Linked DNA regions of Oreochromis niloticus. The protein of the gene in region 1 purifies or fractionates together with the protein of each later gene. This does not show direct contact. Links are inferred from orthologs where the notes say so. Each region holds a gene or a part of one and is shown on either strand. Other genes may lie near its edges.

Region 1 (16,588 bases):
AATGTTGACTGTACTAAAAAGGCTTACAGCACTATGATCACATAAAATATGGCTCAAATCATTCGCGATCAGTCACACCCCCTACTTGATTAAAATTTTTCTTACGTCAGCAAATCACCATACCAGTTATCCCTGTTTTCCTTTTCCTAGAAAATGCATGTGTTGCTGGAAATGTAGAGACAAATAGAAACTTAGTCTCCCGAGGGTTGTTTGAACCTGTATAGATCAATACAACAATGTGCTAATTAGATTATACATTGGTGTCAATTTTTAATGCAAATTAAGACACCAGGAAGCACACTGATATTTTTTTAATGTCCAAGTTAAGACATCAACCTTTTCATTTTCATAAACATAACCCAAGGCTTAGTAATCCAAAGTATAGCCTTCAGATAATTTTGGAAAAATGGTGGATTATCAAACTGTGATAAATAATCTTTAGGTATTAATAATCTCTTCTCTGGGATTAGCCTCGCTCTGCACCAAAGATTCTGGTAAATATGCAATAGTCATCAGTCACCAGACTGACTGATATATTCATCCATGAGGGAGGGGGAGGCTGCCACCAGTGTGGAACAAATAGAAAAGGCCTTTCTTTTATTATTATTATTATTATCATTATTATTATTATTTATTAAAGGATATTGGATATAACCTTAAAAGGCTGAAAAGTAAAATGAGACCAACTTTATCCTAATGGGAAACCATTATATTTATTATAGTAATAGTAATAATATAATTAGTAACTATATAGCTGTAACTTCTAAATCGTTGTGTGAACTATCAACTTATAAGTATTACAAACCTGTTTTTGTATGAAATAAAAAGAGAGATCACAATTTTTCACAGACTTCACAGTTTTATGTTTATTGACTCATCGTAAACACTGACACATGCAACATTACAAGACACAAAGCTAAAAATCAATCTTCTTTTATATTTAATTTTATTTTTTATTTTTAAATTTTATTTATGATATTTTAGGCACAAAAGCAGTTTGTTAAAGTGGAGGTTCACAAATGTTTTTATGGTCCCTCACACATCAACAAAAGCTGAAGACACGTGTTTGAAGCACAACATGAAATGATGAGCGGTTAATATGAAATTGCAGCTGGAATAAAGTAGCTGAGGGCTCTATCGTGTTTCCAGCATGCCATCTTTGATTCTCCATCTCCAGGAAGTGCTGAAGTCTGGAGCTGGAAAACAGCGGAGCGCCAGGCCGGACTCTTGCACCTCCTCATCGTGACCAATCTGCTGGCCGTGCTCAGTTTTCAGTGTGAAAACCCTCTCAGAGATCTAAATCACACACAGATAAGCGTCAAACGAGTGTAATCTTTATATTTATCGCTGAAATGAACAAACAACACATGCTTTTTGCATATAATAGCGTGGGATGCTGTGAGTACACTTCACCTGATCACTGATTCCAGTGGCAATATGGCCAACCTTCACCCGACGCATCTCTCTGATCCGGATTTTCTTATCACTAAAGTCTCTGATGCAGACATCCACCCCTGGACCAATAATAAAGCAGAGTAAGCCACATGACGAAAGAGAAAAAATATATATATACAATTTGGTATCATATTAAACAGTAGAGAAGGGAAGCTTTTCATCTCACCTTCAAAACAGCAAGGTGGTGGCTGCTGTGTGTGACCCAGGAAATCCAAGCTGAACACCTGCCCATCAGGCTGACTATTGTAGGAGAAGACACCGGAGCTGAGGTCGTCTCCTGGGCTCAGAGACCAGCGGCCAGAGTCCTGGAAAAAGGGGAACACAAACCAAACAGTAGGTCTATTAATTCTGCTGTTAACCAAAACAATAGGCCACCAGAGAAGTTCTTGTAATTGGTAACCTATTCGCCTAACAACATGTTTTTCCTGATATTTTGGCTTTATTTCTGCTCTGCATTTTGATTTACCTTTTTGTCCCACGGTTCCCAGTTCGAGTAAGGGTCACTGCTGAGGCAAGACAACAACTGCTCCTGCATCTCAGCAGAATGAAGCTGGGAGAGGCTGCTCAGATAGAAATCTGCAAACAAACAAAAAAACAAAAGCATACAGAGTTCAAGCATCTGCTATACTTAACACCTGAAATTAAATACAGCTTAAAGAAAACCTCACCTCCAACCAGCTTCCGCAGCTCAAGTTCAGGTACCGTGGTGATTTTGTTGTCCCTCCTGTGGCTCAGCTCAGAGATCAGCATTTGTGGTTCATGAGGCGAGCCTCGTTTCGACTTCTCAGCGTCTGCCTCTTCTTCATCAGTCAGTTTCTTTGTCCTCCTCCCTGTTGTGATCAGCTTTTCCACGGACTCTTGGTGCATCTCTTCATCCTCAAAGTCAGCACTGCTGGTGATGAATTGCATGGAGTCACCTGGTTTGTTGGTGTTAAGCAAGGGCTCTAAGTAGGGACCCTTCACTGGGCTGGTGAGTCCTCCAACTGCAATCAAATCAATAAAAATTAAATGAACTTATGTACCTACGATAAACTGACTTCAAAATGTATAGCAGGTATTACTAAACTCAGTGTGGTCAACTGATGGTCACTAAACCAAGCATTCCATACCATATAAATGCAAAATAACAAACTCTCAATTGTCTGTAAACTCACTGCTGAAACCGCCATCAACCCAGATGCAGTGCAGATTTACTTTACCTTCTCTCAGAGCTCTGTCAGTTTGTTCTTTGAGGTCAGATGCTGATGATCTCTTCAGTGGATCCTTCTGGAGTCCTGCTTTTATAACTTCAGCAGTGAGAGAGCCACAGTCAGGTGGGATCTCTCTCAGAGGAGGGGGCTCGTTAGCAATCTGTAACCAATCAACCAAGGGAATTCAGTCAAGGCTTGATACGAGTACTCTAAAGAACAAACATCTGTCAATAAAGTATTCGAAGAATACCTTCAAATAAAGGCGACAATTATAGTATCTTGTCCAAGGCTGACAACCATTGAGCATGTGCAGTAACATACAGCAGCTGCTCCACACATCTGCTTTAGCTCCGCGGGGTTCTCCTTTTACTATTTCAGGGGCCATGTGAGTCTCTGTGCCCTTCAGATCTGTAATCAAATAGATTGAGAAAATTGTGAATTCTGACATGTAAGTGGAGAAATTGCACATCTTACCAAAATTACTCAGTGGAAAAGGATTTACCTTTGGACCTACTGAGGCTCTGACCCTGATTGTCGAGCCTTTCGGCATGTCCAAAGTCACATAGGAAGGTGTCTCTACCATCATCCGACAGCAACACGTTGTCGGCTGTGAGAAACAAGCAGAGTCAGTAATCCATTGCATTAATCTGTGTGCTGCTGTGTGATGTCAGTGGTGCTTGGTTGATTTCCATGACTTGTGCTGTGTAGTTTTTAGATGACATAATTAGAAACAGGGCAGCTGCTTAGACACAAAACAGTCTAAGACAAAGGAGCCAAATGAATGGAAAATATGAAGTCACACAGGGACAGCTGCTGTGCTCAACTCTTTAATGTGGAATGGATGTGGAAACTAGTCACAAACCGTACGCAGATAAAGAAGATCTGTGGTATTATTGTCTAGCTTTTCCTGAGAAATTACAGACAGCAGATGGCGCTTGAGATACACCACAAAACATGTCTTGTCAGCTCTTAAGCTATTCTCTGTCTTTTTTGCTCTTCCTCAATCTCAGTTTCTGTTCTGTTTTTGTGTTTCCTTTGTTCTTCTATATAACCCTTTCCACTTTATTTTCATCTTCTGTATTCTTTCTGTCCATTGTACTTTTTCTCCTCTTCTTCTCTTTCAAACTACTTCCTGCTCTTTGTCCCATCCCCCCCTCACTCCGTTTCGTTCTCCCTTTCTCTCTCGCTCTCCTGACTTTGTGCACATGCGCCGTGTCTACAGAACAGCAGTGAGTCACACTGTGGGAAATTCCCAGCCCGTCTTTTTCTTTGTGGTAATCTGGTTTCACAACCCAGGTGCTTGAAGATCAAATCTAGACTGTATCTATGACACTTGTGTTCCAAACAACAGCTGCACATAGACACAAAATCCTCTGATGAGAACTAATTACAAATCTGACTTTCTCTCTGTCTTTTTTTCAACTTTCCACTACCACAACAAGTAAAAGTCAAGCTGACACATTTCTTAGTTTTACTGTTATTACTATTGTTCTCTACCTCTTAATATTCACAATGAAAGTGTTGTGAGGCAGTGCCAATATCGATATATTGTTACTTTTTTGGATTTACCATTTTCATTCCATAATTTATCAGTCGACAACATCACCAATATTTAGGAAGTCACAGGAACAGTCCCAGTCATTATTAATTTGTAAATTATACAGAGATAAAAAGTGGATAAAAGTTAACAACTTCACTTTGTGGATTTATTTTCTGTTGTAAATTGATTAAATTACACTAAAATTCTTACAAAAGCTCACTCTTAAGATACGTGTCATGAATAACCGCATGTGTTGATGAATGACTTGAATGGCTGTTCAGTCATAATGTGGGCACACCAAACATACTAAATATGAGGCTAACATTCGAGTCATCAAAGTTTTCAAAGGTATGGCATTTGTATAATATACCTTTAATATCGAGATGCACCACCCTTTTCTTCACTAAGTACTCCAACGCTGTTAAAACTTGAGAGTGGTAGTGGAGACTTAAATCCTCTGGCAGTCGACCACGTTCCACTATCAGCTGGCCCAAAGAGCCTGGAATAACACAAAACGTTAGAGCGGGACAAAGACTGTTGTCTTAGTAATATTTACCAACAGAGAGCATCTGATTAATCTTTTCCTCTGGGTTATGGCTTGTAAAGAAGCCAGCATTTAATGACAATGGAAAAATGTGTCAGGTATATCAATGTTTATCAGGAAGGCTCGCGTCACACGTTTGGTGCAGTTTGGACAAACACTCTTTGAGTAAGGTCAACAGTCATTTCAAGCATCCCAGAAACACCCACTTCCACATCTCAACACTAATCACATCCGTATTTTTCTACACTTGAACTCAGTCGACTCAAGTTCCATGTACATGTTTGTGCACTTAATTGATCACATCTGTTTCTTGAGTTTAAATGAGAACAGGAGTAGTTAGTATCAACAACATACGCTGTGTGTGAAGGGAAGATAGTGGGATTGTTTACCAGCTTTGTGTTCCATCAGAAGGACGACATTAGGCCCCTCTCTAACCACTCCAAAGAGCTTCACCACACGAGGAGATCTGAGGGCACTCCACGCACCCACCTCCTCACTGTTGAACCTCTTCAGGGCGATCTTTGAGAAAAAGATGGAACATAAAATACTAAGATTATGTACATACTTTTAAACAAGACCGTTTTTATACAAAACAGTATGCTGTAAATTACCTTTTTGGCAGCAAATTTGAACCCACTGTTCACATCTTCAGCACTGTGTACTTCACCATAGGAGCCTTCCTTGATGAAGTGCTGGAAGACATACTCTCTCCCTTCTTTGTACTCTGAGTCCACAGGCTGAATTTTCTGTCAGGAAGAGAGAAGCAGGTTAGTTTGGTTCAGCCAATTTTCAAACCAAAACATACTGAAGCAAGCAGACTGAAGCAAAGCAGAACTTACTTCATGATAAAAAATTAGTCCCTCATTGCTAACAGAGTCAGCTTCCGAGAACTCATCTTCGTCTTCCCTAGTCTCCCTCTCCACTTCTTTGAAAAATGGCCCTGCATAGCATGGATCCCCCTGACTGACACAGCCCCTGAGCCCAGCAAGGGCCAGTGAGCAGTCTCCCACACTGCTAAGAGAGTCCGAGCTGCTGTTGTGCTCATATGACCGAACACTGGAGAGGTTACCCAAAACTGGCCAGTTCAAAGGGGAACAGCTTGAGCCTTTGTTGTAAACTTGTTGGCTGTAAAAAGAAGCCCTTCGGTCGTCTTCCTCTGAGCTTTCAAAGCTGCTACAGCAAGAGGTACTGAGATCGCTTCTCTCTTCAACAGAAGAGTCCTCCTACAAGAAGAAGAAGAAGAAAAAAAGTTTTTAGACAAGATGGTGTTTACATCCTCCAAATTTGCTCTAGGCTTAAAAATTCAAGGCCAAAAGAGGCGGGGCTGTTGGAATTCAATGTTTCACTTCCACAATTTAGGAAGGGTAATGTTTACATGGGGACTTCTAGAGATTAGGACCCTATTGTTGAAGATGATTTAAATTCTTTTAACAGCACAGTATACTAAATATTCAGACTCAGAGAGATGTGAAGAGTAACCTCACCAGGATCGGGATCAAAGAACTTCCACTTTCTTGTTCAGGCACTCCAGAAGGCATTCGACGTCTCTGTCGCTGCTTGTCCTTCTTCTTCTGCTGCTTCTTCCTCTTCCCCTTACGTTTCTGTCTCCTATGGGTACTCTTTCTTGGGGAGAGTATTGATGTGCTTGCTTCCTGGATGGTGGCCATTGTTTGGCACGCCACATTGTTTTGGTCAGATGAAAGACTTCAAAAGAAATTCGAAGAAAGCAAAAGGAATTTAAGGCATGTTTACACAATTCAGCACAGACCCTTGAACAGAAATTTAATTTATAATGCGGAGAATGTCCCCAAGATCTTACCTGGTGGTCAAGCATTTAGGGAAGGCACGGAAGGATCGTTCATAACAGGAAGGGCTAAACTCCTGGGAGTCCTGGGTTTCACCTAAAAGAGCACAGTGTTAATGTAAAATTGGCTCACAGGAAAGTTCATTGATGTGATACACTATAAAAATAAGATATATTTACATTCTGCCTGAGCAACAATGGTTGAGGTCTTGAACTGCATTTCTTCCACTTGTTCTGCAGTTCCATGTGTCAGGAGTTTAGTGAGTTTATCAGCAGACCACTTTTGCGTAAATCCCATTTTGCCATCCTTCCCCTCCTCTTGTGCCTCCTCAGTCTCCTGCTCTGCATTGGAGCATGATGGATATGTCCCCTTCAGGTCAGCTTTTGGTGGTCCAGTGAAAGGCGCTGTTGAGTTGAAGAGCCTCTGTCTCACCGCCATGTTATCTTCTAAATCTGCAAGAGACACAAGCAGCTGATAAATAACGATTTTCCTTATCAACTGTATCCTGCCTTTATGTTTTGTCTTTAATCTTAAATAAGAGTTAATCAATTTGGTTTTAGTTATAGACGCCTGGGTTGTTTGTGTGGCTATAACCAGAGAGTTAAAAGTAACTTTTTAGTATTATTATTTAAATATTAATTAGTGAATTTGTCTTTGGTCGAGGGCAACATATTTGGCTCCTTTATAAACTGAGCTTTCGATTTTGATGAACATGTTACTTCAGAGCTCACAGTGCGTCATATTTATTCAGTTAGTCAGATGCTTGCTGCGACTCATCAAGAGTGACCTTTAGAAATGTTGTGAAGTTTGTATAAGCATAAACCATTTCTCCAAAATGTAACAAAGGACTTTTATCTGCTAATGTGAGCGTGGGAGTGAGGATACCTAAAAAGGGGAACAAATGGATACTGAAAACTAAACACATCTCAGGTTAAAGGTTGCATTGCATTTTGCTGTTTGTTTTTGTTCATTTTTTCTTAATTTTTCGTTCTTAGTTTGCATCTATGGCGCACTTTGCAAATACTTTCCACAGTGCCATTTGCCTGCTGTAATCGAGCACAACAGAAAAGCTCATAAATCTGACTGAAGATGAAAGGTTTATGACAGAAATATACACCCATGCATAAACGCAAAAATAATTTGATCTGCTTCATTATGGCTCGTTTGAAGTTTAACATATTTTACTGCGCCACACATGTTTAGGAGCGCAGATGAACTGAAACTGTGAAATTTGAGGTGGGCAGATGAGACAGGAAATTAAACCCCGGCCTTGTTTTCACAGTTGCAAACTCTGTCGCTCAGTGCATGCACTCTGTTTCAGTCAGAGGAAGTAACCTAGGCAATGCCTGGGCTGCACAGCCTGGACTAATTTGAAATAAAGATTTGCATGGCTGCCTGTTCACACCTTAAAAGTTATTACCAGCACAACAGGTAAGACTGTAAAACCAACACAGGAAAACTACATGCAGTTTAAAAGGCACAAACTGAGAACTACATTTAGAGCACTACAGTTGCAATTAGTTGCGTCAGTTTGTCCATTACACTAGTAGCTTCTCACATAAAGATTAAGCCTAAATTCTTGACTAAAACAATCACATGCACGCTGCATGTTTTTGCTGCTGACAACACCAATAAAGTACAGATACAAGTAAGAATACAGCAAAAAATAAGATCAAAACATAATCAAAATTACGTTAAAGCTGTTTGAGTTTATTAATGATACTACCTTGTACGCAGACTTCATGCACCGCAAGATTATCTAGAGCGAAGCAACTCAACTGTCACTTCCGTCTTAAGACGCTGCACCACCACACCCCAATGAATTTACGTGGAAAGGAAATAGAGAAAACCCCACTGCAACAAACAGGCACAAAAACAGACTCTGTATGTGTGAGCCGACGTAGCGGGCAGACATACCAATAGATGCCAGTCTGAACTGCATTCTCAAGTATTTGTTCTGAATAACCTGTCATCGACACGAACTAGGTGCTCCGTTTGCGTGCCTTCATGTTCGACTTTTCAGTAACGACTCGGCTCAGTTGCTGCTGCTCTGCTTTCTGCTCTCCTGATGCTGGCTTTCAGCCAACTGGGGGGAGGAGCTGGCTGACTATGACTTATGGGAAATGCATCTACACTTCCCCATATTCCCCCCTCCTTCTGCTCCCTCTAACAGGGCTGGTTTACTTACTCTGCCCTCTTGAGTACTACCAATTAAAGGATAACAGGTTTGCTTATGGGTATGATGACAAAAAAAAAGTGAACTATGAACTGTGATGAGAGTAGTGGTAATATCTAAACCCTTTCAATCTTTGCAGACTATCAAGATACAAGGTTTTAGTGAGGAAGAAGCAAAGGATATGATTAGTACAGCCGAGCACTGAATTCAAATTTGTTTAAAAGCGAAAAATCAGTTAAAAAAAGTTTCTTTACTGGGTGAAAAACAATTTCAATTCTGTGTGCACATTAAACCAGGTAGTCTGATAATCACCCGGAATGGATAGTCAACTTTCTGTACACATTCACACCACTAAATGTGAAGGGATTTGTGGCCTTTCATTTGCTCTGATATTCTAATAAGTGCGTGCCCTGTAGCAAGCCAACATTCAAGAGCACGTCACATGTCATGTCACACGCCCACATTCTCCACTATATGTCCTGTTGTTAAAACAACAAAGAGTTTCTTTCTTTATGAAAATGTGGCAGTGTGAAAACTCACATTATGAGCATCTTCTTGCGAAAAATTATTTCCGAAAACAGTGTTTAGACTGAGGCAAGCGTATGAGCTGTCAATAATCTGATGGCTCTATCTGAAATAATCTCACTTGCTTTTCTCTTGAGCAGAAAAACAACTTAGTCATACAAAAACCACTACAGGAAACTCGGAACACCACTTGACAGGTTCTGGTACATGCCATAATCGAAAAGCTCAATGTAAGTTGCTCACTCCACCCCTACTGATAAGGAAACTGTTTGTCATGACAACAATATCTCTGCTAAACCGACATAAGCTTGAGGACACAGGTACAGACATTGTAGACAGTCAAAGCATTTTGAATTTTGTTTTTGGTACTCTATTAGTCACCAACTTCACATATTATGACTCATAAAAATGGCAACAATTAGTACCAATTATCAGTTCATCTGCCAATCATTTTCTCATTTACTCATTCTGTCTAGAGCTGAAATATTTAGTCAGTTTAGCCACAACATTATGTGCAACAGATTAACTGTGTGACAAAAAAACAGTCAAAAGTTACTAGTTCAAGGTTCAAGATTTTAAGGTTTCTTTTAATATACCACAGTGACCAGTGTTTTTGTTTTGTTTTGTTTTTTTTGTTTTTTTTGGTGTTTTTTTTTGGGGGGGGGGTTTGCTTTGCAATTTGCTGGTTTTGATTTTTAAATTTCATGTTTTTAATTGCCTCTTCATATTATTAAAAGCTTGACATAAATTCTGCTTTGTTTTGGGTTTTTGTCCAAAAATTCATTTACATTCATTTGTGGTCAAATTGTTTTAAGCTGTGAATGAATCTGGAAACAGACAGACCAAAAGACAGCTCCCTGGTACTACTGTAAAACAGATAAGAATAGGGCTATACGTCTCAGCTTTGGGCACACCACCAATTCTGACCATATTCCAAACATCATTTCTAGAAACCCTATACCTGAAATGAATCTCCAATGATCTTCACTATTGCCATATATTGCTCATGCAGTCCTGAGAATATTTCACTTTTTGCAAAGGAAGTCTGTGCAACTCTAAGGTCATTTTTTAACTTCTATTCCAACTTTCTGCACTGACAAGCATGGCATTTTACTAACTGGAGAAATGGCAATGACTGATTATCAAATTCTGCAAATTAATTTTGCAGGTCAAGTAATCAAAACTAAAGTCTTTTGATTTACATGCAAACTGAACCTACACTTCCCTGTCAGTGTCATCAGAAACCTAAACAATTATGTTTTAGAGGAGTTTTGCACCCTAAATGTCTACACATATCTAATAAACATGTAACTAATAGTGCACACTATAAACTTTAATCCATAATGATCTTTGCTGTGGACATCTTTAACTAAACTGTAACAAAACATACAGTTGGTGACTGTACAGCTTCTGCTGCTCTGTTTCTCTCACAGAGATTAATGAAATTCCAAAGCCTTTAGTAACGACAGCTAAAAGGGACTCAGAATACACAGGCAAGAGTTCCTTAAGAGAACCGGTGGCTGCTTCTCAGGAAAGCATTCCAGTCCTCAACTACACATCCACAAGGTTGCAAAAAACATCTGCAGGCACACATTTAAATGCATCTCCAAGTACTCAGTCATACCCCTTGTCTAATGTCTAACAACTTCCCTTTTTCTAGTTACTTCCTCAATATTAACTTCAATGAAGAAACAGTCAGTTACAGTAAGAATGCATAGTCCTCTCTTTGCTGCACATTATTTCCATTAAACTGAGATGTTCTATAAACTCCTGGCATTTTAAAAGAATAATAACCCAGGAAAATTCTGAGCTAAGCCATTGTTATTAATGTTATCCTAGTTTTTCTGTAAACATTACTGGGTTCTTTGACAAATTAAAATTAATTCGGAAAACAGTTTTCTCATGAATCAATATTAGAAATGCGTATTTGACACCTCAAGAAAAACATTCCCCTCCATTTCCCAATGCTATTCAACATAAGTTTACTAAACATGGCCAAAGTCAACAACTCTAAAAGCATGTATATTATAATAATGTTCTACTAAGCTGCAATCTTTCTATACATTTTCTATATAGTGAGCTCATCTTAATACAGTCATATTTGCACTTTCCTGCTATCTTGCAAAGAAAATGAGAACAGGATATTTGCACAGGAGGAACAAAAGGTTTTTCGTTTAAGGGTGGACCTGGACTAGTGCTGATTCGCTTGTAAATGCAGGCCAGGAGTTTGACTCTGGGCCAAGAAAGATCTAGCAAGCATTGTTGCGGTATGGAGGCCCAGCATAACTTGGACCTGAAAAATAGGACCTGCCAAGAGTGACTAATGTAAACAATTACATCTGGTAGATGTAATTGTTTAGCTCTATCAAGATTACATGGGGGCTCTAATGTTTAAATGAAACAGATAAGAGCATAAAAAGATATATGACTGCATATATTGCGACAACATATAATAACATACATAACGGCTATTCTTATGAGGACTCCTATAACAAATATAGCAAGTTTTTTTTCTATCACTAATATGCTCTTAAAAAAATTTTTTTACCAGGTAAGAACATCAACCTATTCATGTTTAGAGTTAGTACAGCCTTTGTGACAAAAAATAAAAAATAAAATGAGGGTACCACTGAGAAGTATGAGCAGTACGACGGTAATTATATTCTGTACAGTAAAATCTACAGTAAGCCTCTATAACAATTTACCTTTGATAACACCTTTGATGTTTAACTATTTAGCGATTCATTTAAAAATGAACATAATTTGACTAAACAGTAATTTCATGTGTATACACGCGCTGTTATTGTGTGCACGCGCACCAACTTCCTTCTAGCCACATTCACCGCCATTTCACATAAAACTTGGGCCCAAAATGTTTGAACTATTCGTTAAACAGTCAAACATGTAAATCAAGAAATCGAGTTCTCGACAAACAGCGGGAAACACTGAAGTCAGAAAGCTCTTAACTTCGTTAAACCGTTTATGATAAATACTATATATTCTTCACTTACCGTATTTCCCGTAACTAGGCGTCGGCCGATGGCGATCTTGACATCATGTAGCTTCTTTCCTGTTTCCGCTTGAATTTCGAAGTAGTGTTTGGGTTCCCTTAATTTTTACAATAACAACATTTAGCGCCAGAATGCAAAGACATATTGCGCTATTATTAATCACTGACTGTAACAGTATGTTTAAATGTTGCTCGGACTGAGCACAATGTTTGCGTGTGGCTGTAAGTTATAGTTGTGCTTTTAATTTGAAGACAAAATGCTCTCTCTTCATGTATGCGTCTGTTTTTAATTTAAAGACAAGAGGATAAGCGGTCATGCAGCGTGAAAGGGGAGCTGTTTAATAAACTGCACATAAAAAGCCTTTGTTTGTCTGTTTGTTTTATGTTTTAATAACCTAATACTATATATCTATAGGCCTTGCTTGCTTTCTGCTGAGATATAGATATTTGTATTTTAATATATAAGGCGTTTATGATGTATTTTACCAAGATGAGTATCTACAGTAGATCTTATTGAAATTCTCCTCGCTGGAGATTTTAACTCGTACTGACTATCTTCTGTCTCAGGCAGTTTTACATTTACAAATATTAATGTCACGCAACTAATTTGCAGTCCAACTTGTCCAAATCTTAAATGCTCAGAAAAATCATCACCACATTTATTTATTTATTACATACTCTCCGCATAAATATTCCCATATTAGTGTTTTGCAAATGATGTCAGTAATCACTGTGTTGTAGATGCAGTCAGGTAATCGATACTCCTGAAATCAAGACAACAAATTGTTTTTTAAACGAGATTTTTTAGCAACCTTTCTTCCGCGATTCATAGGACTGCAACTTGAATAAAACCTGATTAGTGATATTAATTTGCCATGGAAATACATTTTCATTAAAATATTAAATAACCATGCCCCTATCCGCAAATTTAGAGTAAAATGCTGTCCAGTCACCTCAAAGAAAGTGATGCTGGCTGGGCTAAGGCCAGAAAAACTAAATCTGGCTGATTTTTAACTCAAAAATAATTCAACCTCAAAACACTAAACAGTTTAATGATTCTAAAAGATTCTGGATAACAATACGATCTTCTTACGGCGATATAACACCCTTTTTGTTGTTGATGACATCTGTACTTTAACTGAAAAATGTGACATTCCTAACGGCTTTAATAAATATTTGGTTTCTCCAGGGTCTTTATTTGAATCTTTACATAAAGATTTAAAACAGCTTAATGAACAGGAGGTTATCTCTGCAACTGCTCGAAATGAATCTTGTATTCAACTCTTCAGCTTTTCTTTTCTGAATGTCATGGAGATCCACAAGGCCTTAAAGCTGTTGGATACAATGAATTCAAGACCACATCAATTTAAACCTTATTTTCCTAAGCTGGATGAACCACAAACTTTTCATTTTTAACCTTATGCTTTGGAACAGTGGTGATATGGAAATATAGAAATATACCCTTTGTTGATGATAGGGAGGTGATGAGGAGGTGGTCCTTCATATGTTAAAAACTACAGATCACACAGTTGGGCATGTAATGTTAATAAACAGAGCGAACAATATTGGTTTATCAGTAAAAGCTGTTAGCTAGTTTTCAAATGACTTGTCAGTTAAACACAGTGTGTCCTCTTTCCTGAGTCTTCTTCTTTGTTTCTCCCAGTATCCAAAGGAGCTCCTCAGAGATCTATATTGGGACCACTCTTTATCTCTCTATATGTAAATAACCTTTGTGATATTTTATCCAAATACTGCATTCCATTTATCTGTAGGAGTGCAAATCTTTAAATTTCTGCTGTCTGCCTTTGAGGTTTGTGTTAAATCCAAGTTCATGTTAATCTCAAATGGCAAAAGAAGTTGTTGTCTACACTTCCTAAGAGCAAAAGGATTCAAGTAACTGAAATTAAACTGGTTACATGTTATAAGTATCTAGGTATCATTGCATATCATAATTTGTCAGGTTAAAACACACTGAAGTGCTCCTGTCCAAACTGTTCTCTGTATGGTGCTGCCAAGTAGCCATTATCCATAGACTTTCCCATTGGTTAGTTTTCATCTGAAAATATAAATGGAAATCTCTGCTTGGGCTGATTCGTCCTACCATGGGGGAAATTAAGTCCAATTTAAAGGAGCAGAAGAATAGCTCTTTTGGTCAGAGGGACTGTTTTTATTATTACTCTTGTAATGATCTGTTCTTGCATATTATCCACAAGTTTGTCTTCACTGATTATCATTCGTGTTTGTTTCTGTAATTGTTATATTTTTATGTGTTGTATTTGCTGTACCATCTGCTGCCCTCTTGGCCAGGTCTATCTTGAAAAAGACTGACTCAGTGACTCACTCACTAAATCTCTCTGAAACTTTTACCTGGATAAATAAATGATAATAATGATGAGTAATCTAATACAGTATATCATCAGCTCATACGTCATGCTGTAAGAAAAATATCTGTATTTATATAAATCTACCACAAGATGGAGCTATAACCTACTTAAGTCTTTTACAGGTTAATACACGGGGCCATAAGGCATGCATTGTCCTCTGAGCCTCACTGATGTGAAGTTGTGTGTTTAAATTGGTATCTTTCACGCTCATTATTTTTATAAACATTTCAGTCACTTGTTGAACAGGATAATGCACTATAGATGCAGCAGAACTCACTTGTCCTAAAGAACATTTCAGGAAATCTTTCCTGCAGTTCTACATTCCTACATTCTTCTACTACTCTATAATAGATGAATACACTTGTCAGGTAATAGGTTTACACAAATACTTACAGATTTCTGTATTATACCTTACTGCTCCTTTCTTTGAGTTATAGTGTAGACATTATATATTAATACTATTTCCACTACTCTTTTGCGCAATGTCAGTCTCTTTTTTCTCATGAATATCTAACTTCTTAAAATGTTTGTCTATCTGCTTCTGCATCTCTAAATGACATTTTTATTAGCCACCACCAATGAATAAGGATTATGTCATTTAAATTTGCTGGCCAAAATATTGAGTTTTCAATCTAATGTTAGTTTCATTTTTAAAGACAGGCAATTTAATTTAAATGGGTAATAAAAAACCTTGTAAGATTAAAATCATTTGCTTAAAATCTCTAAAGGTTGATTCTGTTCATCTGGATGTAGCATTTTCAGTGGGAGAAACGTTTCGTCACTCATCCAAGTGACTTCTTCAGTCTCAGCTGACTGCAGGTTTCCCCAATCTTATAAACAGTACCTTTGCATAATGACTGAAGCCAGCCCACTGAAGGAACAATGGACTGGGAGGTCAGTTCCTTAATCATAATTATGCAAATTCTCATGACCATTGATCAACAACCACTAATCAAAGCCCACTGATCAATGGCCATGAGTACCATTCACAGAGAGTTGGGGAATGGCTGCAATCACAGCATTGTAAGATAGTGACAGATGTACCCTTAGGCCCCCTCCTCGATTCAGAGATGGTCTTTCCCTTTTCACGTAAATGGCCTCCTCGACTCAGCGCTCAAACCAGCGTTCCTCCCTGTCCAGGATGTGTACATCCTCGTCATTGAAAGAGTGTCCACTGGCCTGTAGGTGTAAATAGACTGCAGAGTCCTGGCCTGACGAGGTAGCTCTTCTGTGTTGTGCCATCCGCTTCGCCAGAGGTTGTTTGGTTTCCCCGATATATAAATCCTGGCAATCCTCCTGGCACTTAACAGCGTACACTATGTTACTCTGTGTCGGGGGACCCGATCCTTGGGGTGGACCAATTTCTGGCGCAGCATGTTTTGGGGTTTGAAAGCCACAGAGACCCGGTGTTTAGAAAAAATGCGCCTCAGCTGTTCCGATACTCCTGACACATACGGGATCACTGAGGGTTTTCCCTTAGGCAGCAGTTGTCCTTCTCTCCTGGATCGGCTGGAGCTTTTTTTTGGCGCCTTCCCAGCTTTGAAAAAGGTCCAGCTGGGATAACCACATTTACTCAGGGCCTTCTTGATGTGATGTTCTTCTGCTTCCCTGGCTGCTGTGTCTGTAGGGATGGTGTTCGCTCTGTGTTGTAGCGTCCTGATGACACCCAGTTTATGCTCCAGTGGATGATGAGAGTCAAACCTTAAATACTGATCTGTATGCGTAGGTTTCCGGTACACATCAGCTTTTAGATGTCCCCCATTACTGATGGAAATCTCACAGTCTAAGAAGGCTAACCTGTCACTTTTCATATCCTCCCTGGTGAATTTGATGCGTTGGTCCACTGAGTTAATGTGATCCGTGAATTGTGGTACGTCCTGAGATTTGATTTTCACCCAGGTGTCATCCACATACCTGAACCAATGACTTGTGGTGTTCCAGGGTAGGATAACAAAGCCC
Region 2 (16,365 bases), on another chromosome or scaffold:
CGGACAATGATGTAACTGTGCTGGAGCTGGAGACGCCGCTCACGTTCAGCTCTTCCGTGCAGCCTGTCTGCATTCCCTCCCCATCTCATGTTTTTGCACCTGGTCAGAGCTGCATTGTGTCCGGATGGGGTGCCGTGCACCAGTTTAGCTGTGAGTCCGCAGGAGTGCACACAAAACACAACAGACGAGTCATTTAGAGTCAAAACTTCCTGATATACTTTAAGAAGCAAGAAGGACTGTCAAACAGGTCGATGGGTGATTATTTCACACACCTGAAGTTGCATTTTTGACATTTTTGACATTTTGCATTTTTAGGATTTTCTTGCATTTTTGACAAGAAAATCCTAAAAACTTGTTCTTGAAAGCTGTCGTCTTGTCATTTAAGGTGAAATATGACAAGTGGGAGTAATCAGTGTGTCGTGCGTTCTTCTGCAGTCACGCTGCCTTCCACGCTGCAGAAAGCTGTGGTGAAAGTCATTGACTCCAAGGTGTGCAATAAGTCATCTGTGTACAGAGGAGCGATCACTCCAAACATGATGTGTGCTGGATTCCTGCAGGGCAAGGTGGACTCGTGTCAGGTCAGTGGTGGAAACGGTTCATATGCGGTGGCTGTAACAGGATGAGAAAGGGGGCGTCTCGATACGTACACTGACGATCTGAAGGTCTGAGGATCGCTAAAAATATTCACACCGTTCTCACCTTAAAAACTGAGACCTATAAGCCATCTGTTCATCTCAGCATAACCGTGTGGTGTTAATTATACAGTGAGAACACGAGGCTCAGTCTTAGAGAAATCCACTTCAAAATATCTTATGTTGCATAAATTTTGTAACATGTTTTGGAAAAATTAATTTCTCTGTATGTAAAATGTTCTTTTTTTTAGACAAAAATATGAACTTGTAAGAATGTGTAAAATGCACTTATTACATAATTGTTTCAACATTTAAAGCAATAACTGTGAATTAAGACAGCTGATATCGTTCCCCTTCTTGGTCGTGTTGTCTCCCTAAGAAAGACAAAATGCTCTTAGACATGTCTCGCAGTAGCTCAGTGAGTTTCAAGGTTCAGAGCTGATGCTTAAAATCGTGGTGATTAGCCTAATGATGCTAACATCCTGACCAGCCAGAGCAGATTACCTGATGCTGAATAGTTGAAAGTTACCAAAGATGACACTTTTCAGAGTATCATGTGTGTCCTGTGCAGGGGGACTCTGGAGGACCTCTGGTGTGCGAGGGGGCCCCGGGAAGATTCTTCCTGGCTGGGATAGTGAGCTGGGGTGTGGGCTGCGCTCAGGTCAACAGACCTGGGGTTTATTCCCGTGTTACCAGGCTCCGTAACTGGATTCTAAGCCGGGCCGATCCCACCTCGGTTCATGATTATGTTCCCACTGTGACAGAGTTTAATACCCCACCAGCACCCAGGACCTCAGCTGATAACGTGTCGTCTGCAGCAGCGCTGCCGCTGTCTGGTAATGTCAGCCTGAAAGCTCCTTAATCTTAAGAGCTTTATCAGTTACTGAGATTCATTTATTTAATCTCTCCGTGTTTTTCCAGCCTTGAATTGCAGTGGAAACTTCAAGTGCAGCTCCACTTCCTGCATCAGCAAGGTCAACCCGGAGTGTGACAGAGTCGCAGACTGTCCCAACGGGGCCGATGAAAGAAACTGTGGTAAACTTAAAATGCACGAAGGACGGTGTATGAGGAGGAATTTAAGGGTCATTCTTCTTAACTGCGTTTTTTTTTTTTTTAAAGACTGCGGCGTGCGCCCTGCACTGGGCTCCCATAGGATCGTGGGCGGAGTCACGGCTCGGAGGGGAGAGTGGCCTTGGATCGGGAGTCTTCAGTACCAGAGGCTTCACAGATGCGGTGCCACCCTCATTCACAATAGGTGGTTACTGACTGCAGCGCACTGCTTCAAAAGGTATTTCATACATTTATATCAAAACTCGTTTCACTGAAAGCTCAGGAATGATTCTAATATTAATAAGTTACATCTATAGTGACTCTACTCCCAATAACTGGGCCGTGAGCCTGGGATCTGTGCTGCGATCTGGGGTAGGAGCCCTGGTCGTTCCCATCCATAGGGTAATCATCCACCCGGCCTTTAATGGCACCAACATGGACCATGATGTGGCTTTGCTGGAGCTGGCCGTCCCAGCCCCGATGTCTTACACCATCCAGTCTGTCTGTCTTCCATCACCAGTACACCGCTTCTTAAAGAGCGCAGAGTGCTACATCACAGGGTGGGGATCCATGAGAGAGGGAGGTGAGAGATGAACCCACAAAACTAAACGTCCTGCATTTAGAGGTCACACAGAAAAGAAATGAAATGTCTTTAGTAAGAAATAAAGGCAGGGGAGCACGAGAGGCGAGATCATTTTCACGTTATTGACTTAACTCAGCCTTCAGAGGTAAGAAGAAAAGCAGGAATAGCTGCGTGGGCTGTTCGACCTCTCACGACTGAATGTGATATGAATGCTTAGCCTCTGACTTATCTACCTCTGAAAGTCCTGCTGTTAAAACAGGACAATGTGGATATGGATGTTTGTCAGTCTCCATAGCAACAAAAAAACTGGTACTGTTGCGATCACACCTGTTCTGTGTATAATGCTCTTTCCACAGGTTCATTGACCAACCTGCTACAGAAAGCTGCCGTGAGCATCATTGACCAGACGGACTGTCAGCAATCATACGGTAGCGTTCTGACTTCAAGCATGATGTGTGCGGGATTCATGGCGGGAGGTCGGGACACCTGCTTGGTAAGATGTTCACACTTCCTGTTTTACAATCGTTAAAAAGTTCCTAACCTGGAGACTTGGTTAACATCAGGCTGGTGCACTGCATGTAGTGCTCGGAGGCTGGAGGAAATATGACTGTGCTACTGGTGTCTTTACAGTGAATGGTTAACCAGGCTGGAGCAAAGTCAGCCTCGATCTTCACCCTTTAAAGGGTTCTCCGCTTCGCCTTTGGAAACAGGCTGACGATAAATTATGGTTTAAAAACAAGAATCAGATGTAAGAGAAAAAAGAAAAAGAATAAATCTAGAAAATGTGACCACCTCACAAACATACGCTGATCTGATAGAAAATGTACGCTTTCTTTCACAGCAAAGGCAGGCCACCCCTTTGCACCCTCTCCATAATCTTCTTATGTAACGAAACCCTCATGCATTCCTGTTTCGGTCAGAGCACCTGGCTCAGCTGCAGACTGACTGACATTCTCTTTACTCCCCCGCTCCCATACTCATCTTCAGTCGGCTATTCTGCTCTTATAAATGCATTAAAGTTATTTAAATTCCAAATGAAACTGTTGATCTGTTTTTTGATATTGCAGGGAGACTCTGGAGGGCCGCTGACGTGCCGTCAGCCCTCCGGTCAGTGGTTTATTGCTGGAGTAACCAGCTGGGGACACGGATGTGGCCGAGTCGGTTTCCCGGGAGTTTACACTCGTGTGACGTCTATCAGGAGCTGGATATCCACATACCTACCGTTCTGATGAAGGAAGAACTGTGTCTGCAGAGAACTGAGGTCATGCTAAACAGCCACACACAAATACTCAGTGTACACAGCACTGACCTTTGTGACCCTCCGGTCACAGGTGCTGTCGGTAGTGCTGTGCTTTTACCTGAACTGGGCCCATCCTCCTCCCACCTGAACTGTGGCTTAAACATTCAGCTAGCACGGATCATTTGGAGTATTTATTACATTTATTTATTGTCATGGATGGTAAACACACTGCACATGGCCTTGTGTGGAGAACATTCATTTATGGGTCAATATAATGGTATTGTGATCTTTTACTGTAAGGTGGATTTGTGGGGAAAGTCTACTCTGTACAAAGTCAGTGACGTGGGACTCGGTGTCGTTCTGTTGGTGGATATTCGCTCTTTTGATCAGAAACGAGAGAACACCTGATTGATGAGATTTATTATTTTTTCTTGGGGAAAAAAAATATCACTGATTGCAAAAGATGTTCACAGAGCTTTTCTGGCTCCTCACACAAACTCAGGAGGTTCCCAGATATCTAACAAACCGCATGCACACGAGGCTGAGAAAGGTGCAGTACCCCGTCTAGGGCGAGGGAGACCCCGCTGAAACAAACCCACTACTGTGGAGGGCAGCAGATAGAGTGACAACCAGAAAACATGTCAGACAAAACAGTGTTGTTCTCCAGCTGTACTTTGATATAGGTCTGTTTGGAGGCTTGTAAATGTCAAATTCATGCTGGTGAAAACACCAAATTGCTCCTCGATTCTTCCTGATGATTTTTAAGCACTTTTTTTCTTTCCTTTAAGGGCTCCAGGAAATATTTAGTCTCGAAGCTCAATCACCCGGCAAAGAATGTGAAACAGTGTTTAAAGGAGAGTCTGCAGTGACTGGGAGAAGTTTACTGTTACTGGTATTACAGGCAGAAGCATTCGATGGGCAGGCAGATGAGTCACAGTAAGTAAGGCGGGCCTATTGAGCCAAACTGCATCTGGAGTCCTTTTAGCAGCACAGCAGGCTCAGCCTCCTGTCGCAGCGTCAGCAAACACTTTCAGACACATTCACACTTAAGCAGGTAATTTAGTGTTTCCAATCAACATGGCAAGAACACGCAGAAAATGAATTATTATATTTCTAACGTAAAACACAATCGATTTAACATTGGTAGTGAACTGTTCCTCAGAGCAGAAAAACTGTCCACAGAGACACTGGTATGGCTGCAGTCCACAGGCTCTGCTCTGCCTGTCACAGGTATTGTGAAAGATGTTGCGCCGCTGTCGTGGCAAAACTCGTGCACAGCGTGGGCCCTCCTGCAGAGCACTGCATCGGCCCTCGCTGTGTGCGGCAGCCTGAAGAAGGGAAAGATGAAGAGAGAGGAGTTCACATGCGAGCTCTTTCTCGCTGCAGTCTGGAGTTGTATGTTCGGGACACGGTGTTCCAGGCGTCCATATACCGGTCCATACACATGGCGATACACTTCTGTTAGGGACAAGGCAAAAAAAAAAAAACACGGGTTAAAAGTCCAGAGAAATAATCCACTCGTGGTCTATAAAGAATTTAACCAATTTAAAACTGTGATTAATACCAAAAAAATGTTTCTGATGCACTCCTCCTTGTTTTCAAATATAAATATATATATAACAAGTTTATCCTAGGAGCAGTTCTGCAGGGAGAGACAGACCAACGCAGATCGACTCTAACCTGGAAACGAGACACTGATGAAGACTCGGGAGTCGATACATGTTGGTCCATCTTATCCTACGATAAACCTGTTATATTATTCTACAAGATGATGGAGTACCTCAGCAACACCTTATGTTTCTGGTATTGCGCTTGCATTTGACCCACTCAAAAACACCTGTCAGGTAAGCCTTTAGAGCCCTGCAGCACTTTCGTTATGCCCTCCTGTTTTCTTAAAAACGTGATCACTTCTTTGCTCGGAGCAGCAGTGCATCACTGAAGCAACTCAGTCCGCCAGTGCATACCTGCTCAGAGTTGTCCAGTGTGCTTCCAGGCTTGCCTATGCACTTCTTGAAGCATTTATCGGTCATTCTCTGAAATATGAAAAACAATCTTTTATTAGCATTTACAACTCTGACAGCAGCAGCGCAGAATATTTGCATGACTTTAAAAAAAAAAAAAAGACCCTCCAAAGTTGGTCTGGCTCAAAAGTATCTTTTTATGTCAGCAGCATTTCGGCTCGTGTGTTTATATGAGCCGTGTATTAACATGCTGACAGGATCCATAAACCTTACAGAAGTTATTGCGGGCTAAAAAATAAAATAGTCTTACACACAGGACGAAGAACAAAGCCATTGTACAGCTTTGACCCGTAAAGGTAAAAGCACTCAGCACTTACTCAATGTGTGCTTGCTAGCTTAGCAGCTGTGTTCATTGATTTACCTGCAGCAGCTCCTGAGCGTTAGCCACCGCGATCTGGACCTTGACCTGCTCCATGATGGTACCGGTGTCCATTTTTCCGCCGGACCCTCCTGCTGAGAAGTCTGAACCAAAGCCGTCCATTTCCGCCACAGTCGTGTTCTTCAAACTCACCTTTGCGGAGCTTCTTCCAATACACGTGCAAACAGCCGCTGCTAGCCTTAGCCGGCGTTAGTTTCCGATGCCCTTGACAGAAGCTGTGCCTGTTGCGTCATTTCCGTGTGAGCCACTCGGCGTCATGGGAAATGTAGTTTTTTTTTCCCAACAAAGGTTGTACTGCTACAAGTAGCATTTCTCCTACAGATCAGGTATAGTACTACTATTTACATTTTAACATTTAAAAACGGCATTTTTGTGGGACCATGTTGGCGATACAGGGAAGTACTGTGCAGGTTTGCATTTAGCATGTAAAAGCCAAATAAATGGTATTTAAAAGCAACTATTTAGCTCTCTTGCTAAGTAAATAAAATAAGGATGAAGCGGAGCTGAAGTTTATGCAATACTTTTTACATAGTCCTGTTATTTCAGCTGCTCTCCTGTCTGTTAATCATCATCATCATTATCTATACAATGTTTACTGAGCCAACGTTAGCATTTTTCTAGCCAATTAAGAGACACGTGTAGTGTCACTTTACGCCATATTTTCCCTTGCGTGAAAGTGAAGAAATTATCCAGAGGAAAAAAACGATATAAACCGCCGCTAAATTTTCTGTTGAATAATTTGATTCAAAATTTGCAAAGCGTGTAACGTTTAGGTGACTTCTCCCCTATTGGTTTCAGAGTTAGCGCATTAGAGTGTTGGACATAAAAACCCGACTTTAAAAAGTGCACATCCTGCAGAGCCGGTCAAAGTGCGGGACATTGTCTCAATATGCGGGACAGCGGCGCAAGGGGTAAAACATGCGGTGCAGTCCAACATGAAGGCATCTGGTCACCCCTACGGTTAACAGGTTAACACCTGATCCACCTTAACAAAAGTGCTTTTGTTTGCCACATGGTGGAGCTGTTCTCCGCTAAATACTCCCTCGAGTTGGACTAAGTTCAGTTAGGCTCTTTCACAGTGTGTTATCAACAGTTATCGATACATTTGTGACCGTTCATGAAGCAGATATTCTTTGTGCAGATCAACACTATGTGAGCTCAACTTTCCTGTCACTCCACATAATAAGACAATGACTTTAATCTGTAACGAGGCTAATTTCCTCTACTGAAATTAATTTTTTATTCATTTATTTTCCACCCATCAGTCATAATTTTGATTTCTTTTATTATTAACCAAAAACATAATAATAAAGTATTTAATGCACCCCTTAGATTTAGATTTTGAGCTGCTCCTTTTAAAGGATGACAGTGTGTAACTATTAAATAGTTACACACTGTCATCCTTTAAAAGGAGCAGCCAGTCTTTAAATTGTAGTCTGAGCACAAGTTTTCCTGATCCTCTGTGTGTTACTTTGATCAGGATACACTTCATCTTTTTAATAACTAAACTGCATTTCTCTTCCATCTATGGATGGGCTGTCACTCTAAAAGGAGGGACAATTCTGTCAAATCTACTTGTTTAAAGATAACATCATTTTCAATAAATGTTAGGACTAAACATGTCAGCTGTCCTTGATAAGCAGGTCATGAGCCAAAACATTTACTGCAGACTAAAATAAATGAAAAGCCAGAGTCGACTACAGGAATAGAAAGTCAGAAGAAGCTCTGTGCTCTTTGCGTTGGGGCCCAGGGTTAAGGATGGCCTCTCCAAGGACCCCCAGCTTTATGTTTCAGACTCGATGACCTCACTAAGAAGACCACCTGCCTTGAGCGAACAAATAAGTGGTACAGTGTAGTCAACAATGGAGTGGCGGTTACTGTCATCTAAACAGACGCTCACTGAGTGGTTTATTGCACTGTCGGGGGTGTTGATGAACAATCGTAGGGGGTCTGATTAGTGTTGCGCCTGCCCAACAGTAATTAATGACCAGTCATACAATGCTTGGAACAACACACACACACACACACACACACACACACACACACTCCACAGACCGGTTAGGCTTCAAGCCCTGGGGGTGGAAAGGGCCGGGGGAGGGGAGGAGTGGGTTAAAGTACAGCAAAATGAATTAACCCTAGATTACAATCATGAGTTCATTAATCTAATCTTCTTAAATGCTTAATCTCCTTCAGGCACACTTGTGTGCATGAAAGCATTTGGCTCTGCCAGCAATAATGAGCAGCGGCTACAATGGTTATAAAAATGAGAACTACCAGCCAGTTTATGACGGTCAGACTTTGAGGTATTGCACCAGGATGTTAGGTTACTCCAGGACGTTCCGGTGTATAAGAAACAGACATTTGCTTACTTGATAAATGAGATGCACTCAAATGTAAATCCCCTGTCAAGCAAATAATAGGAGAGGAAATGGTGGATAAAAGGGAAGACGGCTTAAAACACTGCTTCTCTTATCCACACAAACTCTGACAGCTAAGCAGCAGCAGCAGTTTGTAATCTTCAAAAGCAGCTGCTGAGCGACACTAAGAAGGAGTTCAAAACAGGAAGAGAGGCAGAGGAAACCCGAGATGTGTGGCACCCACTCTGGTGGACTTCAGTCTTCTTGGTGCACAAACAAACCAGTGTTGTTTAAATCCATGAAGTCTTTTATTACGCTTTTCCACAGCAGACACTGTGGCCTGTTGAAGCACGACAATCACTAATAACATTATCAGAAATTCAAATCCATTTAAATTCAGCCACTGCAACATTGTGAAACTGACACACCTTAACAGAATAAATTGTTCACATCATCAATCACACATGTAGACATGCCCTGACATGTCCCAGCAAAGGCTGGTACTCACACAGATGCTTAATTGTTACATTTTCTCACTTTAGTCTCTTTTCTAAAACTTTGAGTTGTAAACAAGTACAAGTGGGGTTGACTTAGACGACTCCTAACTGACCTGCTTCTCGTCCTGATAGGCTGCTTGGAACCGAGGCGCATTCTTTATGAATTCTTGCAAACCTCACGAGTGCTTAATTCCTGCAGAAAATGCCAAGAATTCAGCTGAAGAAACAATCTTACAGCCCTCAACCTGCAATCATATGATCATTAAGACTGTTGTTCCAGAAATTTTACTGATTGGCCGTCTTGTATGGTGTGCGAAAATCCTTTAAGAACTTCAGTATGCAGTTTTCTTACTCTAATCATTAATTTTTAAATTCTTTGTCAACCTGTATATAGTTTACATTCCAAAATTAAAGTGTACACATAGTTGATCTGTCCATTTTCTCCCACTTATCCTATTCGGCATCAGGAGGGGGCTGCTGGAGCCCATCCCACTGCATGGAACAGGCTCTATTATCTACATGGTTGCTATTTTAGTGGGTTTTAGTTTTGTGTTAAAAATAATCAAAAGTTTTGGAATTTACTGCCACAGTGTTTATTATGGAAGATTTGTGCAACACTGAGACCTCTGTGTTATAAAAATGGTGCAAAATAATGCAATAGCTGACCGAGTTGGAATAAAAATCTGAAAAAATGTCAGTAATTTAGGCAAAATGTTTGTGTGGTTTCTGGTCTGAATTGTCTGTGGGTGGGGATGGGTGTGCTGGATGGCCCTGTGACTTTCTACAAAACCTTCCAGAGAGCAGATTATTAAATCTTACATGATGTAACCGCCACGTAACTTTTCGTGGTTGGTTATTTACAACTTCACACCGCTGTCTTTCACAATCAATGCGCACCAGTGCAATTCTGGGTTGAGTTTTTCCAGTAACAATAGTTATTACATGAAAGCGTGTTTATACTGTTCATCCTGGTCTCATTTGACTCAAAGCTGGGTAAGCAGACTGGTCTGTGAAATGAAGGTCATTTTAAATGATATTTAGAGCTGTTTTGTGACATCAAAGTGTAAACATCTCAGCAGCAACAACTTTCAGGAAAACCTTTCCTAAACATCAGCCTGTATTACACGTGTATTTTTAACGCTGTGCGTATTTATGATGCCGCCCTGGATAGTTTTTCCTCCCAGTGATTTTTTCTGTCTATCGTTATGTCGTCTTTTTTCACAGAAACCCCCTTTCTATTGTCTTGTTCCGCTAAATCCTGTACAAACACAGGCTACTCGGCGTTCATTGATAGCGCTGAAATGGAGATTTTCTTCTTTACGCGCAAGCCAAGGAAAGGCGAGAACAAAGCAGGCAGGTGAAACATACAGTGACAGGTGTTTCGGGTGATTCATGGCGATGGTTTCTGAATATAATGACGGACACTGATCCAGGTTGGCAGGAGAATAAAGGAAGGCTTTGCGCTGATGTTCGAGCCCATTGGCCGGCGGGAGCAGGAGTGGGAGGAGCCAGAGGAAACACCACCACTGCTGCTTGGACTCTTTCTCTCTGCGCTCAGCTCGTCGCTCTCCGGCACGCTGCTTGGCTTCACCCACAGAAAACAGCGAGCGGCTAACTTCCCAAAAATTCTTTTGTTTCGGGCTCAAACCCAAGATTGTGAAGACAGACAAATGGCTGAACCGTCTCCCGCGAGTTTAGGGTGTGATACAGCTTTAAAGTCGGGAAGCGGACTCGCCTGAAGTGTGCCACAACTTCAAACACAAACCCGACGACGGGAGGAAGTTGTAGCCGAGATAAAGAAAGGAGTCGGGATCGCTCCCTTTCCCATCGAGGTAAGATCCAGTCCTACCACGGCGATCATGCGTGTTTGTTATGACTGAGCTGTAACAGTGTTTCCTCGGCTGATCGTAGCAGCCTGGATGCTTTGCAGCTGCTAACTCGGGAGGAAAGTTGAGCGCATGCTGGAAGTGCTGACCAGAGTTTCACATTTACTGCACAAAACGAATTGGATTTCACGCTGTTTCCCCCCCACCCACGGAAGTCCACCGTCCCTCTTTCAGCTGGGTTGAATAGCCGATTTAAATTTATCTGCCGTGAAACAATGGGCGCTTTAAAGCGGAAGATATTTATTTGGTCGTTTTCAAGTTATATGTGAGCTCTTTGTTAGCCCACCGCGCCGTGCCAGGACAAGTGGGTAACTGAAATACTTCCTAGAATTTTTAAACAAACCATATAACGTCACTCCCACTCAAGCTTCCTATATAAACGATCAGAAAATGCTCCCCCCTGTTTCTCTCTTGTTGCACTGCGGTTACATAATTTTATCCTAGAGGAGCTGCTCTGAGGTGTCACATCTTATGTGGGCTTGAAAGCTCCTGTATGTGAGCCAGCTGAGAAACAGAACAAGCTGGCAGGAATTTATTGGCTTTGCCGTGTTTGGAGGTGACTCACAGCCCTGAAATGGAAGAGGGTGGAAAGATGTGATACACCCAGGTGTTGCTTCTAGCCTAACCTTAATGGTTGAAGGTTATTCTAAGAGCCGGTTGTTCTCACAGGTCTGACAGTGATGCATGCTTTATAGATTTTTGCACTGTGTAAATCACTGGTGCACTAAAACACACCAGGTTTACGTGGGAGTGCGCCTTATCTGATCTTCTTTCATCTCTCCACAGTCTGAAGTCCGTTTCCGCTGCAGCCCGACATACTGATAAGAGTATTTCATGTAGAGCCCATTCATCGGGTGTTGGCAGAGTTTTTGTTTAATCATCAAATGGGAGGAGTGTTCACATCAAAAGATGTTGCATGACATTTATATCTGGCCAACTGTAATCAAAATAGAAATGTTAGAATTAGCTTTAAGAGTAACTTATCCATGGTTGTTTGTCTCTGTGTTCCAGGTTCAAGTCAAGATGTCTGTCAGCAACCACGAAAACAGAAAGTCTCGCTCTAGTTCTGGCTCAATGAATATCCAACTCTTCCACAAGACGTCCCACGCGGACAGCCTGTTGACTCAGCTCAACCTGCTACGCAAACGCAGAGTCTTCACAGATGTCGTGCTAAAGGCCGGCAACCGTTCCTTCCCCTGCCACCGGGCCGTCTTGGCCTCCTGCAGCCGGTACTTCGAGGCCATGTTTAGCGGCGGGCTCAGAGAGAGTCACGACGGTGATGTCAACTTCCACGACTCTCTCCATCCGGAAGTGCTGGAGCTCCTGCTTGACTACGCTTACTCAGCCCGGGTCATCATCAATGAGGAAAATGCAGAGTCACTGCTGGAAGCTGGAGACATGCTTCAGTTTCATGACATCAGGGACGCGGCAGCAGAGTTTCTGGAAAAGAACCTTCACCAGTCCAACTGTCTCGGGATGATGCTGCTGTCCGACGCCCACCAGTGTCAGAGACTGTATGAGCTGTCGTGGAGGATGTGCCTGGCGAACTTTGCTACTCTCTTTAGGACAGAAGACTTCCTAAGCCTCCCCAAGGACAAAGTTCAGGAGCTCATCCTTAGTGAGGAACTGGAGGTGGAGGACGAGAGCCTGGTGTACGAGGCCGTTATCGACTGGGTCAAGGCGGACATGGAGAGGAGGCACAGCGAGCTGCCCGAGCTGCTGCGCTGCGTCCGCTTGGCGCTGTTGCCTGAATCGTACCTGCTGAAGAACGTTGCTTCAGAGGAGCTGGTGATGTGCCACAAGGTGTGCCGGGAAATCGTCGAAGACGCCGTGCGGTGTAAGATGCGGATCCTCCAGAACGATGGGATCGTAACCGGATTCTGTGCGCGTCCAAGAAAAGTCAGCCAGGCCCTGCTGCTGCTCGGAGGTCAGACTTTCATGTGTGATAAAGTCTACATGATCGATAACAAGACCAAGGAGATCACCCCCAAAACAGACATCCCCAGTCCCAGGAAAGAGTGCAGCGCCTGCGCCATTGGTTGCAAGGTATTTATGCAATGAACCGACTTAAATGTGTCATTTTTCTTTTTGACCCCTCGACGATGTAAACACGCTTTGGTTTCAATCTCTGTCCCTCAGGTCTATGTTACTGGAGGACGTGGGTCTGAGAATGGAGCGTCCAAAGATGTCTGGGTCTACGACACATTACACGACGAGTGGTCTAAAGCGGCGCCGATGCTGGTAGCCAGGTTCGGACACGGTTCCGCGGAGCTCGACCACATGCTGTACGTAGTGGGAGGACACACTTCCCTCGCCGGATCCTTCCCCGCCTCTCCGTCTGTCTCTCTCAAGCAGGTGGAACAGTACGACCCTCAGACCAATAAATGGACCCTCGTGGCCCCGCTCAGAGAAGGAGTGAGCAACGCTGCCGTTGTTGGCGCCAAAAACAAACTCTTCGCTTTTGGGGGCACCAGCGTAAACAGAGACAAATACCCCAAGGTGCAGTGCTTCGACCCCTGCCAGAACCGGTGGTCGGTGCCAGCCGCTTGTCCACAGCTGTGGCGATACACGGCAGCGGCCGTGGTTGGCAACCACGTCGTCGTGATCGGCGGTGACACAGAATTCTCTGCCAGCTCGGCCTATCGGTTCAACAGCGAGACGTACCAGTGGTCAAAGTTTGGCGACGTGACAGCCAAGCGGATCAGCTGTCATGCAGTGGCGTCGGGAAACAGGCTTTATGTGGTCGGAGGGTACTTTGGGGCTCAGAGGTGCAAGACGCTAGACTGTTACGATCCAGCGTCAGACTCCTGGGACAGCGTGACCAGCGTGCCCTACTCGCTCATTCCCACTGCCTTCGTCAGCACATGGAAGTACCTCTCAGCATAGAGATGCACTGACTCTCGGAGGTTTTGCGGTGAGTAATTGTAGCTTCTTAAAGTGACGCAAACAAACAAGATGTCAATTACTGTATGTGTGCTATTCATAGTTCCCCCTTAAATCTTCAGATAATGTATGGGAGCTGGCTAGCGTAAAGGACACTGTTACAGTGTTACACTGTTACAGTGTTACACTGTTACAGTCCAGGTGAATGCCTCTTTAAATCGTACAAGTTCAGTTTAAAGACTCTTCTGTGTTTTCAGGGTTGCTAATGGTTACAGTGGTTACACATTATCTAGCTGCTGTGCCGGCTGGGTGTCGGATAAACATGGAGGAGTCTTGGTTTAGAGAGCACGAGGAATGTCAGCGGTGCTGATAATTACAGAGCGAGAGCTACACAACAAGACACTGACACTGACGGGAGCGAGGTGGAGAGGCAGGGATCAGGTCTGTGCTTGTAGTGAACAGCAAAAGGGTGCAGGGAGCTCTGCAGGCCCGGTGCTGCTAACGGAGTGCCTGTAACGAGTCGGTTTGAAAAGTCGATGCGTCACGTTCGCTGTGCTTTAGATAAGATCAGAGACATTCTGTTTGTTAGCTCGTGTGAAGCAACACTTAAGATTTCGACATTTTACAGGACGGGGAAACAAACAAGTCCTCGACTTGATCCCAGGTTTTGAAGTATTTTAAAAAAGGAAAAAGGAAAGATGAATTCCATACGTGCTGATGAGTTTTTTCCACCGTAACAAACAGTCAAACCGGTCATCTTATCAGGAATTCAGGAACAGAGAAAGTCTAAAGGGTATAAAAATACGACTGACTACAACAACTCAAGAATAATGGAGCCAACTGGCCTGAAGGGAAGGCAGGGACAGTTTTCAGTTTCATGCGAGTCTATCGATTGATGCTTTTCTCCTGAGGCGTTTTCAGCTTTTACATGGTGAAGCGCAGTCAGCAGCTTTATTTATTTATTTTTCACACGTTCCCAGTGGTTTGAAATTTCACGAGGCCCGTGCTGTGACCTTATTTCAGTTCTGGTGCGATCAGTGGAAAACAGCTGAATCCTGCAGCAGTTATTGAATTTGAAATTAAAGGGTTTTATCTTTATTACAGTAATAAAACTGTAAAGAAAAAAACAAGGAGGGGTTTTACGACACTGCAGCCAGCAGTCGTGTAGTTTAGCTTAGCACAAAGAGTAGAAAGAGCTAGCCTGGCTCTATCTGCTCTGAAGCTAACTAAGTGTTTGCATGTGACTCTGTAAAAGTAACTAAAGTTGGAAAAGGTCCAACTAACTTTTAGTCTTCATGCTAACTTAATTGTTTTCTACAGAGACTGTAAACAAAAAATGGACACAGCTAATATGACACCACCTGTTTCTTTGTAAATGTCAATTACAAAGTTTCAGTTTCAGTCTTCTGGCAGTTGCCATCCCGTGTTATGGAAAAAAATAGCTGTTGTGATGGAAATTGAAATTGTCTGTAGAGAGCAAATGCTTTCACTCCTGGCTGTTTTAATATGGGAGTCTGAAGCCTAAGCAGTCACACGAGGATCTGTGTTTTTGTTGCCTGCACTGAGGACATTAAAACAAAAAAACAAGCAGACTTCAGAGAAGCAGGAATGACTGCTTGGCCTTCAGGTCTCCAGTTGTCCGTATCCTCAAAGTATAATCCAGGCATAAGTGGACTGACTCGCTTTTGGGGCCAGACTCAAGTGGCCTCTTGAGAAACTACAGGTTTTGTTGCTTTGCGTTGGTTTCACTTTCCAGCCGGGGGGTTACTGCTTGGTCTCCTGGCTCCTGCTTCATATGCTGTGCGCCTCACCATGAGACTGAGAGATCGTGATTAAGAACCAAGTTGACTGAAACTAGACGGACTCGATCAGATAAACATAAATACAGCTGTTCTCATATGTACTTGACGAATGTTTGGCTAGCCAATAGCCAGAGTTGATACAGCTCAAGTTAAAATTCTCATAGAGCCGTCTCACTTATATACGTATGCGCATATTTTGTTATTTTCTGTTTGACAGACCCAGGTGCATCCTGGGTAAATCCTCCACAGTGCAAAAACAACTGTAAAGGCACCTCCTCTTTTTATTCTGCCGAGGAGTTTGAAAGTAAAGCAGAAGCAGAAGTGGAGGCTTATGTGTGACTTGTGTCGACAGTAAACAGCTGGAGATGATGGAGCTGGGGGCTTAGCATTATGAGGCTGCTGGTATGGGCCACTGTATCCATGGTAGCCAAGGTTTCTGGGGTGGGATGGAGACAGACAGGCTGCCTGTGAAAGATCAAGGAACCGCGTCTTTACGAACCCTCGCAGTTACAGTAGCCGTCCTGCTGCTGACTGCCTTTATGTTTAATTACTGCACAGATGGAGAAAGCTCAGATTTCCAGCTTGTTAAGCACAGTTCTTCCCCAGACCCTTGTTGACTTTTTCTCTCACACACCCAAGAAAGGAGGAGGGGGCAAAGTTGGAGCAACATACTGACACAAACGTACGCACAAACTGAAGGAGAGGAGGAGATAAGTGAGTAAGACCAGGAGAAACAAAGCTATATTTTCCACCGTTTGGCAGCCGAGTCTAACGCCTGCCTAAAAATACGTTGCTCCAGAGCTTTCAACTTTCAGCCGGGGTTAGAGAGAAGAATACTGTTTCTGCAAGTGTGTGTTTGTTCCCTCCCAGCAGTCTGGTGAGACTTTACACAATAGTAAAATCACTTGTTTTTCACTTACACACACACTGCTGGCATTGCCTTTCCTAGTAAAAGCCAGCCGTCCTCACTCTAATTTGGGAGGAATGAAGGTGTGGCTTGCTTTCCCATTAGTAAAGATTTGTTAATGTCGCCTT

What was found.
Region 2: the proteins of map3k14a (region 1) and timm13 purify together in Homo sapiens (affinity purification with mass spectrometry; 3 studies listed by BioGRID and IntAct, with this or other methods). This does not show direct contact. The link is inferred for Oreochromis niloticus from reciprocal best matches to the Homo sapiens genes MAP3K14 and TIMM13.

Annotation. Positions count from the first base shown.
Region 1 is NC_031969.2:25,780,523-25,797,110, forward strand, and holds map3k14a (mitogen-activated protein kinase kinase kinase 14), read right to left. Parts: upstream 8,619-16,588; 5' UTR 8,477-8,618; coding exon 8,452-8,476; intron 8,389-8,451; exon of another isoform or gene 8,261-8,388; intron 6,987-8,260; coding exon 6,714-6,986; intron 6,631-6,713; coding exon 6,549-6,630; intron 6,434-6,548; coding exon 6,214-6,433; intron 5,953-6,213; coding exon 5,569-5,952; intron 5,476-5,568; coding exon 5,341-5,475; intron 5,249-5,340; coding exon 5,119-5,248; intron 4,685-5,118; coding exon 4,556-4,684; intron 3,253-4,555; coding exon 3,148-3,252; intron 3,054-3,147; coding exon 2,896-3,053; intron 2,806-2,895; coding exon 2,655-2,805; intron 2,439-2,654; coding exon 2,124-2,438; intron 2,032-2,123; coding exon 1,922-2,031; intron 1,761-1,921; coding exon 1,622-1,760; intron 1,515-1,621; coding exon 1,414-1,514; intron 1,297-1,413; coding exon 1,135-1,296; 3' UTR 840-1,134; downstream 1-839.
Region 2 is NC_031986.2:44,771,743-44,788,107, reverse strand, and holds timm13 (mitochondrial import inner membrane translocase subunit Tim13), read right to left. Parts: upstream 6,113-16,365; 5' UTR 6,008-6,112; coding exon 5,888-6,007; intron 5,539-5,887; coding exon 5,470-5,538; intron 4,964-5,469; coding exon 4,865-4,963; 3' UTR 4,190-4,864; downstream 1-4,189. Other genes in the region: tmprss9 (transmembrane protease serine 9), read left to right, coding at 1-150, 436-578, 1,204-1,468, 1,554-1,667, 1,752-1,920, 2,000-2,265, 2,622-2,758, 3,333-3,494; enc3 (ectodermal-neural cortex 3), read left to right, coding at 11,669-12,691, 12,785-13,531. UniProt on the Homo sapiens protein: Mitochondrial intermembrane chaperone that participates in the import and insertion of some multi-pass transmembrane proteins into the mitochondrial inner membrane.